Cricetulus griseus: one gene and its partner. The protein of the gene in region 1 purifies or fractionates together with the protein of each later gene. This does not show direct contact. Links are inferred from orthologs where the notes say so. Each region holds a gene or a part of one and is shown on either strand. Other genes may lie near its edges. The genes, in order: Cpvl and Capzb.

The links.
Region 2: the proteins of Cpvl (region 1) and Capzb purify together in Homo sapiens (affinity purification with mass spectrometry; 3 studies listed by BioGRID and IntAct, with this or other methods). This does not show direct contact. The link is inferred for Cricetulus griseus from reciprocal best matches to the Homo sapiens genes CPVL and CAPZB.

Annotation. Positions count from the first base shown.
Region 1 is NC_048601.1:87,358,367-87,362,675, forward strand, and holds the start of Cpvl (probable serine carboxypeptidase CPVL), read left to right. Parts: upstream 1-1,323; coding exon 1,324-1,498; intron 1,499-4,309. UniProt on the Homo sapiens protein: May be involved in the digestion of phagocytosed particles in the lysosome, participation in an inflammatory protease cascade, and trimming of peptides for antigen presentation.
Region 2 is NC_048595.1:14,117,227-14,121,779, reverse strand, and holds the start of Capzb (F-actin-capping protein subunit beta), read left to right. Parts: upstream 1-1,708; 5' UTR 1,709-1,723; coding exon 1,724-1,828; intron 1,829-2,860; exon of another isoform or gene 2,861-2,875; coding exon of another isoform or gene 2,876-2,965; intron 2,966-4,553. UniProt on the Homo sapiens protein: F-actin-capping proteins bind in a Ca(2+)-independent manner to the fast growing ends of actin filaments (barbed end) thereby blocking the exchange of subunits at these ends.

The DNA of each region.
Region 1 (4,309 bases):
GGCATTGTGATGATGTGCTGGGAGAATACTCTCAGCGAAAATCACATTTAAAGATTGTTACCAACATTGTCCTTTTTCTTCTCTCTCTTAAAAAAATATTTATTTCTGTTTTCAACTCTGTGTGTGTGTGTCTGTGTGTGGGTATGTGCACTTGTGTGCAATTGTCAATAGAAGCCAGAAGAGGGTGTCAGATCCATGGATCTGGAGTTCCAAGAGGCTGTAGTCAGGCAGGAGTATCGGTGGGGCTACCAGACTAGGAGAATTCTGGGAAAAGGAAGGCAGAGAGTGAGTTGCCAGCCAAATGCAGAGGAAGCAAGATGAGAATGCCTTACTGAGAAAAGGTTCCAAGCCACGTGGCTAAACACAGATAAGAATTATTGTTAAGTTGTAAGATTTTGTTAGTAATAAGCCTGAGCAATAGGCCAGTTTATAATCAATATAAGCCTCTGTGTGCTTATTTGGGACTACAGGATGGGGCAGGGCGGTAACTTCCTTCTATGACTAGGATTAAAGGTATACATGTGTCTAATTTCTTAAGTTTACTTATCAAATGAGCAGAGGGACATGGAAATAGAATCCTCCATCTCTTTTTTTCTGTTTTGTTGTTGGATATAAAACTTGTGATTTATAAGTGATAGAGGGATCCTAAAAAACCTATAGCTTATTTTAAATTCCCCTGTGAAGTGCACTGGAAACCCTTGGTCTCCTGTATGTTCGGTGCCAGGTGTGTGTGTGTGTGTGTGTGTGAGAGTGTGTGTGTGTGTGTGTGTGTGTGTGTGTGTGTGTGTGTGTGTGTGTGTGTGTGTGTGTGTGTGTGTGTGTGTGTGTGTGTGTGTGTGTGTGTGTGTGTGTGTTGTGCATGCATGTGCTTTTCCTGTTGCTCCCATACTGAGTTCCACCCCCTCTCATACCCGCCATTCTGCAATGATGGAATGGTCCCTGCCCCTCACTTACTCAGGGGCCATTTCTAGAGCCCTGGTTGCTCCCCAGTTTTGCCTAATTCTTTACTGGATCTACTTTCCAGGCCGTAGATTTTTAACAGTTGCTTCCAGGTACATTGTAAATCTCTTGCAGAATCTTTCTGTATGTACCCGAGGTCATGATCAAGAGGGATTGGGTGGGTCTGATTTATTTCCTGGTGATGTCCAAAGTGCTCAGTAAACTGCCTTTATACACAATAGCAAAGGTTTTCTTGCTTTGTTTGCTTTGCTCTTTTGGTTTTCTTTTAGTAAACAAGTAGATTTCTTGCATGTAAAGGGGATAGGCAAATACTGACTTTTGACTCATGTGTGGAATGTTACTTTTCTTATCCCAGGCCAAGAAATGGTTGGTATCATGTGGAAGGTGATTGTTTCATTGATCCTGTTTATGGTCGTTCCTGGTGATGGATTGTTTCGCTCCATATACCGAAGCACCCATGTTTCCAGGCCATTCAAGGGAAATGCAGGACAGCCTCTGTTTCTTACCCCTTTTATCAATGCTGGGAAGATCAAGGAAGGTAAGTGTCAGAAAACTGCTCCTGCGTTTTCAATGGTGTTTTAAAAGCAACCATGCCCCAAGATGTGAAACACTTGTCAGTATTTTTATTCCGTTGTTTTATTTCAAATACTAAAGACTTGATGTCATGTATTATCTGAGTTTTGAGCTAAAATGAGGTGGTTGGAGATGGAATATTGATATATTTAAGTTGCAGACTTTCTCTTTATAAAACCTGTGAATGTCTTGAAGTGGGCAGCATTGACAAAGCCACTACAAACCTTGCAACTTTTGTCTGTGGATGTTGACATTAGCACTCGGCTACAAAGCAGGGTGTGTCCACATAGGAAGACTGAAGTAGGAGGGCCAAGGACCTGCCAGAATTCACACAGATGCCAGCTGGTGGGTGTGGCCTCCACACTCAGAGGGCTTCCCTCCACCCACTCTGCTATGCCTCTCACCTGGCAAGTTATTCACAGAGTAGGCTTCAGTTTCCTTGTCAGAAAGAGTTAACAAAATTAGCATCTTATATAACTTGCAAGAATACCAGGAAAATCTAGTGAGAGAGAAATACAAAACAAAACAAAAACTTAGAAAACTCCCCATATCCTGTACATTTCTTCCCAAATCTTAGTCATTAACAGACTACCAGGCGGTTACTATCTACCAGTTAATAGAAAGAAGTCACAATTGGTGTTGTTAGACTAAAGTGTATGATTGCATCTGCTCTCTCTCACCGAATCTTGGTGCCTAGGTAAGTCACCGAGGCCACAAAGAACATCCTCTGTGGGAACCTGGTTGTCCCCTGAGCTACAAGTAGTGCACAGACTCTGACTTTGAGGAATTGTTTGTACAAAGGAGCAGAGGACTGGGCTGGTGGCCAGAGGGAGTCAAGGAAGGGTAGCAAAGAGGAGACAGACAATGAGTGTTTGCTGAAGCAAGGGATGGGTGAGGTGTGATCTGAGGAGCTGCTGGCGGGCACTGAGTGTGAGAGACACAGAGGAGGGACTTGCTGGAGGGTCAGATGGGACTGAGGGTGGAGGAGACCAGAAGTTTCAGGGAAATACTGGTTTCAAAGACCAAAAGTAAGTCTAAACACTGTACAAGGAAGTTTAAAATAAAGCGGTTTCCTCAAAGGAAGTGTCCTCACAATCAACAGGTTACTATCACTTTTGTTTTCTTTGCTATAAAGAGGGTTGAATCCTACCCTCATGGTTTCTCCATGAAATCTGCATAGGCTCTGGACTTTGCCAGTTCTTTGCTACAGGAAGGTGAAAACACCTTTCTTGTGTAATCAGAATATGTAAAAAGGGATTCAGTTTCACTTTCTGCACCAAATACATGGAAAGATGGCTGCCTGGCCACATGGGCTGATTCTTAAAGATGTATCTGAGTAGGAACACAACAACCACCCAACCCCACAGTGCCGGACGGAATTCAGCCCAGCTTCCTTGGTAACTGCAGAATTAATGTGCAGATTTATCTCATTAACAAGAAGTCAGAGAAAACCATTTGATGTGGAGTTGTAAAGGGGTTAAGGTCATTATAACCAAGTCCTACCCAGCCCCATGCAAGGAAGGAGACTCGCGCATCTGGATTTGCCCAAAGGAGAAGCTGGGAAGAGAGACTGGGAGCAGAGGAGCCCATGGGGCTCAGATCTTCTGGTTTCCCCTCTGTGCTTTGCCTACTGTGGTATATTTTTTCTTGTTTAAGAAGCTCGTGGTTTTCTGATATAGATGTACTAATACATGGGAACCAAGTAAGGAATGAAGCTAAAGTGTTACATCCAAGCTAGGTATGCTAAAAGTTCGAGAAGGAATGCTATTGCTATAATCTAGGTAGGAAATAATAGTAGTAGTGACAATAATTACCAATAAATTATAAAGTCTACATTATGAATAAAAATAATAAATGACTTAAAATAAATAATAAGTGATTAGTAATACTCAGTTGTTAGTTCCTATTACTAGCACAATACTTTTATGTGGTAGGCACTTAGTAAATACTTATGTGATTTACATTTGAGTTTCAACCACGTGCCAGGAACCATGTTTGCCATATCTTAGCTCATGTAGGTCTCAGAGCAACTCTAATAAAGAACATATAATTATTGTTCCTATTGCACAGATGAGAAAACTGGGGCTCTAGGAAGATAAGTATCTTTTCCAGAGCTACAAAACTAGTAAGTGGCAGATCTGGGATCATAACTTTTGTCTACCAACCATACTATGAACCACTGTGCCATGTGACAATCTCCTGACTCAATAATGTAGATAAGATATGGTGGCCCAAAAAGGGTCTTTATACACACTGAACTAGGAGACAGCTAAGCAAATGCATTAAGTGGAGAAACCATCACATGTCTTTGTCCTGTGTAGCAGAACTGAGTGAGAAGAACACTGCAGAATCCACCTGAACAATGGGTCATCCCCTTTGAGGCTTAGGGGCATCCCAGGGTCATGGGCATACACAGTAAGGGAGAAAGCTTCATCTTTAGACATTTGGTAGCAAGCCCAGCAGATCCTCTCCCTATGAATGGCAGCATTTGAGACACCGATTGATACATAACTTCCATCATTAAAGTTGTGTGTCGTACTCAGAATCGCTGAATGGAATTTGAATGGTGGATCCCAAAGCTGGTACATCTGGGGACTCAGATGCTGCCCAACAACATAATTAAGGATAATTTTATTCATCCGCCTTACTGAAAGTTCAGGGAGCTGTGGACAGATGGGCAGCTCCCTCTTTAAATCCCCATTGTTAGTGGAATCTGTCAAAGCTGCAGGAATGGGAGTCTTAACATGGCAACAGAACAGTTTTGAGATAAACAGTG
Region 2 (4,553 bases), on another chromosome or scaffold:
AGTTTTGGGGAACAAACTCAGGATTCCCAGCACACTGTACCAAATGAGCCTTCTCCCTACACACTGGTTTTTAAATAAATGCCTGGGATATACAAAGCTTCCTGAGGCCCTATTCACCCTATAAACCAGCACACAAGAGGCTCACAGTCTTTTTTTTTGGAGGGAGGTCATAGTTTGCAGCTGTTCTTGAAGCTTTCTGCTAACACAATTCAGAATGGCCACTGGCCTCTTTGCTGTCTACGAATACATGGGGGGGGTGTCTCTGCCCTTGGGGCTGTGTGTACACTCCACTCCCATCTTTTGCTGCCTTGGACCATCCTCCCAAATGCCACCACACAGTGCTTAGCTACCTCTGCTTACCTCCTCCATCCACTCTGATGCTTTTTCTTAACTCACCTCCTGACAGCATTCAAGCTCAGCAGCGCCTTAACTCAGGGCAGGTGTACATATCCAGCTTGCAGGAGGCTCCATCTCCTGAAGCGAAATTTCACCTACAAACTCTAGGCTAGCATGAGATATTTTGCCCATAGCTGCAATCTCCATAGTCTGCATAATGCTTGGCCAATTGTTACACAATAAATACTTATGGAGTGATGACTTTCTAAGTGCCACTCCCTTCTCTGACCTCCTGTAATACTGGTCTACTGCCACTCTTGAGGGACTTAACCATTCACTGGCTGTTCCTGAAGGCTCTCACTTGTTTATGAGCTCAGAGGCCTCGGGCATAATCTTTCAGGGATGAAATTTACTGATCCCCACTCCCACCTACGACCTGATTTGATTTTAAATAGAAGGTGAGCAAGTCTGGTAGGTAGGTATTATGAGCAAGATTTGCAGTCTAGATTAACTCAACAAAGCATTTTGAAAAGTGCATTTCTAGGGCTGCGACTTCAGTTCAGTGTAAGAACATCAGCGTAGCAAGTATGAGGCTCTAGTTCAATCTTCAGTTGTGAAAACAAAGAGGGATTCCTGAGTCACTGGATGGAGCGAGGAAAAGACTCATTTGGCAAAAAGGCTGATTCTCTGCAGGTAATGTAGAAAAGTATATCTAACAGCCAGCATTTATTGAACCCAAATGTTCTATCTTTGTACCCGCGTCTTCCTCACGACCACCCTGTCTGGTAGCCAGGAAGTGCGGGCAGGGATCCTTCAGGCTTATTCTCCTGTCATCTTCTGGTACCTAAAGGCTGCCTCCCCGGTCGTGATAGCGGGTGTTCAGCCACAGGGGCGGCAGCGCCGGCGTCCCAGTGCAGGCTCCGCTAGCGCTCTAGGGGCTGGGCCCCATTCTGGCGCACCAGTTCCGGGTCCGGGTGGGGCGCGGAGGGCCGGTCCCCTCCTAGTTCAGGGCCTTCCGCATCCTCCGCCCAGGGGGGCCAGTGAACCGCTCCACCCTCAGGTACCCCGTGTCCTCCAGATGCTAGATGGCGAAGTGGGCAGCAGGAGGGTGCCACGGCCGCCTAGGTCCCTCCGGTACGCGCGAGCCCCGGGCTTACGGAACCAACGCGCCTGGCCCGCGTAGGGCCCGCCCTCCCCCATGAGAACACGCCCACTCGACCACAGGACCCACCCCCGTCCCCGCCCCCCGCGCAGAGCTCCATACTTGGCGATCGCCGCGGCCCCGCTCGCTCATTGGCCGCGAGCTGGCGGCGTGGGGGGGGTGGCTGGCGGGGAAGGAAGGTGGCGGCGGCCGGCGCGGGTGGGGGGGAGGGGGGCGCGGACCCGGATGTTCACTCTTGGGCACCCGGGGGAAGTGGAAGCGCCGGGCCCTGCTGCGGGGGGGAGAGCTACAGACGCCGGGACAGGGACCGTCGCCGCCGCCGCCACCATGGTAAAGGGACCCCCTCCACGGCCCCATCCCGGGACCCCCCTCGGGAGCTCCCGTCTCCTACCCCGCGGACCCGCCGGCTCGGGGAGGGTGGGACCCGGGGTGGGGGAGGGGTGGGGTCCGGGACCCTGGGCAGACGCCACCCCTCAGGTCCGGAGGGGTCGGCGGGAGGCTCGGGTGGTGCGTGACCCCGCCCTGGGCTCCATGTGGAGCCGGGTTCTTTCCCCGGCATGTCCAGGCTAGTCTCGAGGATCCCAGGCTAGACCTTCCTTCCCCTAGAGGCCGGGCCAGGCACCCCTCTCTCAGGCCCGCATCCCACGGCCTGAGCTAGGCTTCCCTACCTCGGCCCCAGGGCCCAGGCTAGGATGGTGCTTCTCGCTGCTGCGACCTATGCTAGGCCCCCTCCACTCAAACTCTTCTCTCCATGGCCCCAGCCTGGACCCCGACGACCCCTTTCTAGTGGCCTTAGCCTACGTTTGTTTCCTTCACCCCCATGGAATCTTCTGTCCGTGGTCCTCAAGTCTGGACTCTACTCCTGCTGTGCCCTCCACCTGCACCTCCTTGGCCCTGGCCCTAGCGATCCCCTTCCCCCAGACTTCTCACGACTTGGCTTAGTCTGCGTCAGCCCGCCGTTCTCATCCTCACCCTCCCATCTAGACTCTGCTTGCTTGGTGTCCTGCTCCCGACCTAGGTGTCTCCTCCCCTGTTCCTAGGACGCTCCTTCTTGGCAGTCCCTGGCAAGCGGGGGAGAGCCCCAGCCGGGGTGGGGGTGGTCCGGGTACTGTGCTTTCCTATACTTGAGACTTGCCCCTTTGGGGAGGCTGCTTCGCTTCGGAATGAGCGAGCGAGCAAGAGGCATAAGGGCGGCATCTGTGTGCCCGGAAGGCAGACCAGGGCATTTCCCGTGGCCGCCCTGCCTGAGAGGGGAGCAGAGTGCTGACGGTGACGAAGCCGAGTGGACAGGGATGAACGCATAATCGCTCTTGTGAGGTCGCGGCATGGGGGCTGGGGGGACACCAAGCTCAGAGACCAACATATGGCCTGGATACGATGCACCCTAGCAGGCGAAGCCTCCCTTTCCCCCTGAACTGTCAGCTTGTAAGGGTTGGAACTTCTGATTATGGAGGTGTCTCGGAACAGGTGAGCAAAACTCGCAGGCTGAGACTTCCCTCTGGTTGAACCCTGGTGTGTGTTTTGGTAATGAAGGCAGGCACACTGTGTGAGCAGCTTATTTGAGGAGCCTTAGGGGTGTCCCCCCATAACCCTGCCCCCCATCCACTTGGACACCTTCTGCAGAGCAGGTCCAGCACCTAGATGGAAGGGCCTCAAATGGTCAAGGAAGCTTGAAAAGTGGACAGTTAAGGCCATCCACCTGCTGCATGCCTCACAGCCTTGTGGTCGGCTCCCCTCCTGCTGATGATAGATGTTTGGGAGTGGACTTTGAGCTCTAGATGTTTTGAGGAACCCTGTTCCTTGTTTAATCAAGGGTGTAGCAACTGAATTAGGGTGCCTAATTCTGGTTGGCTAATAAACTTTCTATATATTGATTTAAAATGTAGGCAAGACTGTCTGTCATACTATTGTTCTTTGAAAACTGGCCTGGGGGTCTGGACTGTGGCCTTAGTCCGCATGGGGAAGGACTTGTCTAGGACAGTTTTGGGTGAGACTTTTAAAAGTCAACTGAAGTTTTCTATGTGTGCTCCGGGAGCCAAAGCCAGAGATAGTGGTGGAGTGGAGTGGAGTGGCCAGAGTCCTCTATGCTTCCCCTGTCACCATCTTCTGACAGGTGAAGAGAGGCTGGGGCATTCATTGCATCTCATTCAGAGCATTGCTCAGTTTGTGGATGGACCACTCTTGGCCAGTGGAAGCAGTGGCTTGGCGGGCTCCAGACAGTGATCTTCCTGGTAGGCTGTTGTATGTCTGATATAATGACATTGTTTAAGAAACGTAATGACCGGATGCTCAAACATGGCAAGGGCGGGCAGAGTACTTATTCCTGCAGACTGGGTGTGGATATTCCTGGTAACCGGAAATGTCATCTTGATACAGTAGTATGGTCTGCCTGGACCTGATCCTGAGCTCTTTGGGGACTGAGATTTTGGTCTGGTGTTTTTGGCCTCTGTCTGTCTGGGTTCTAGAGCAGAACCTAAGACTGAAAGATACAGCATGGAAGGCTGACACCTGTAATCAGCTGTTAAGGCGTCCAGGGCCAGCTTGGGTAACACAGTGAGAGTGAGACCCTGAGTTTCAAAAAAGAAACAAGAGATTGCTTAGGGTGTCTATGAGCTTTAGCCACTTGAGGTTTGGTGCTCATTCACTCAGCAGCTTGTTTTTCGTGTCCCCCAGGCCTCTAAGTAATTTCTGACTGCCTGTTGTCAAATCCGTACCATGCTTGAATGATCTGATGCCCTGGTGTGGGCAGTTGGATCAGTTGGCAGAGTGGAGCTATATTATAGGTAATGAACACCATGGTTTTGTTTTCAGTGGGCTTGGTGGCAGAACAAACAACTCTAGCTCCAACTTATCTGCTGAGGGAAAGAGAAGCCTGAGTTTTTTTTTTTTCTTGAGTCTGGTTCACTGTCCCTGTTAAGAATGCTTAGGCAAATGCATTCCCTTTGCAGGCAGTCTTACCACCGTCCCTAAGTGCTTTGCAATTTCAAAGCACTTTGCCTATCAGAGCTCTGGCTTCTAATTTAGGGTTATTATTCTGAGTGTTAAGACGCTGTTG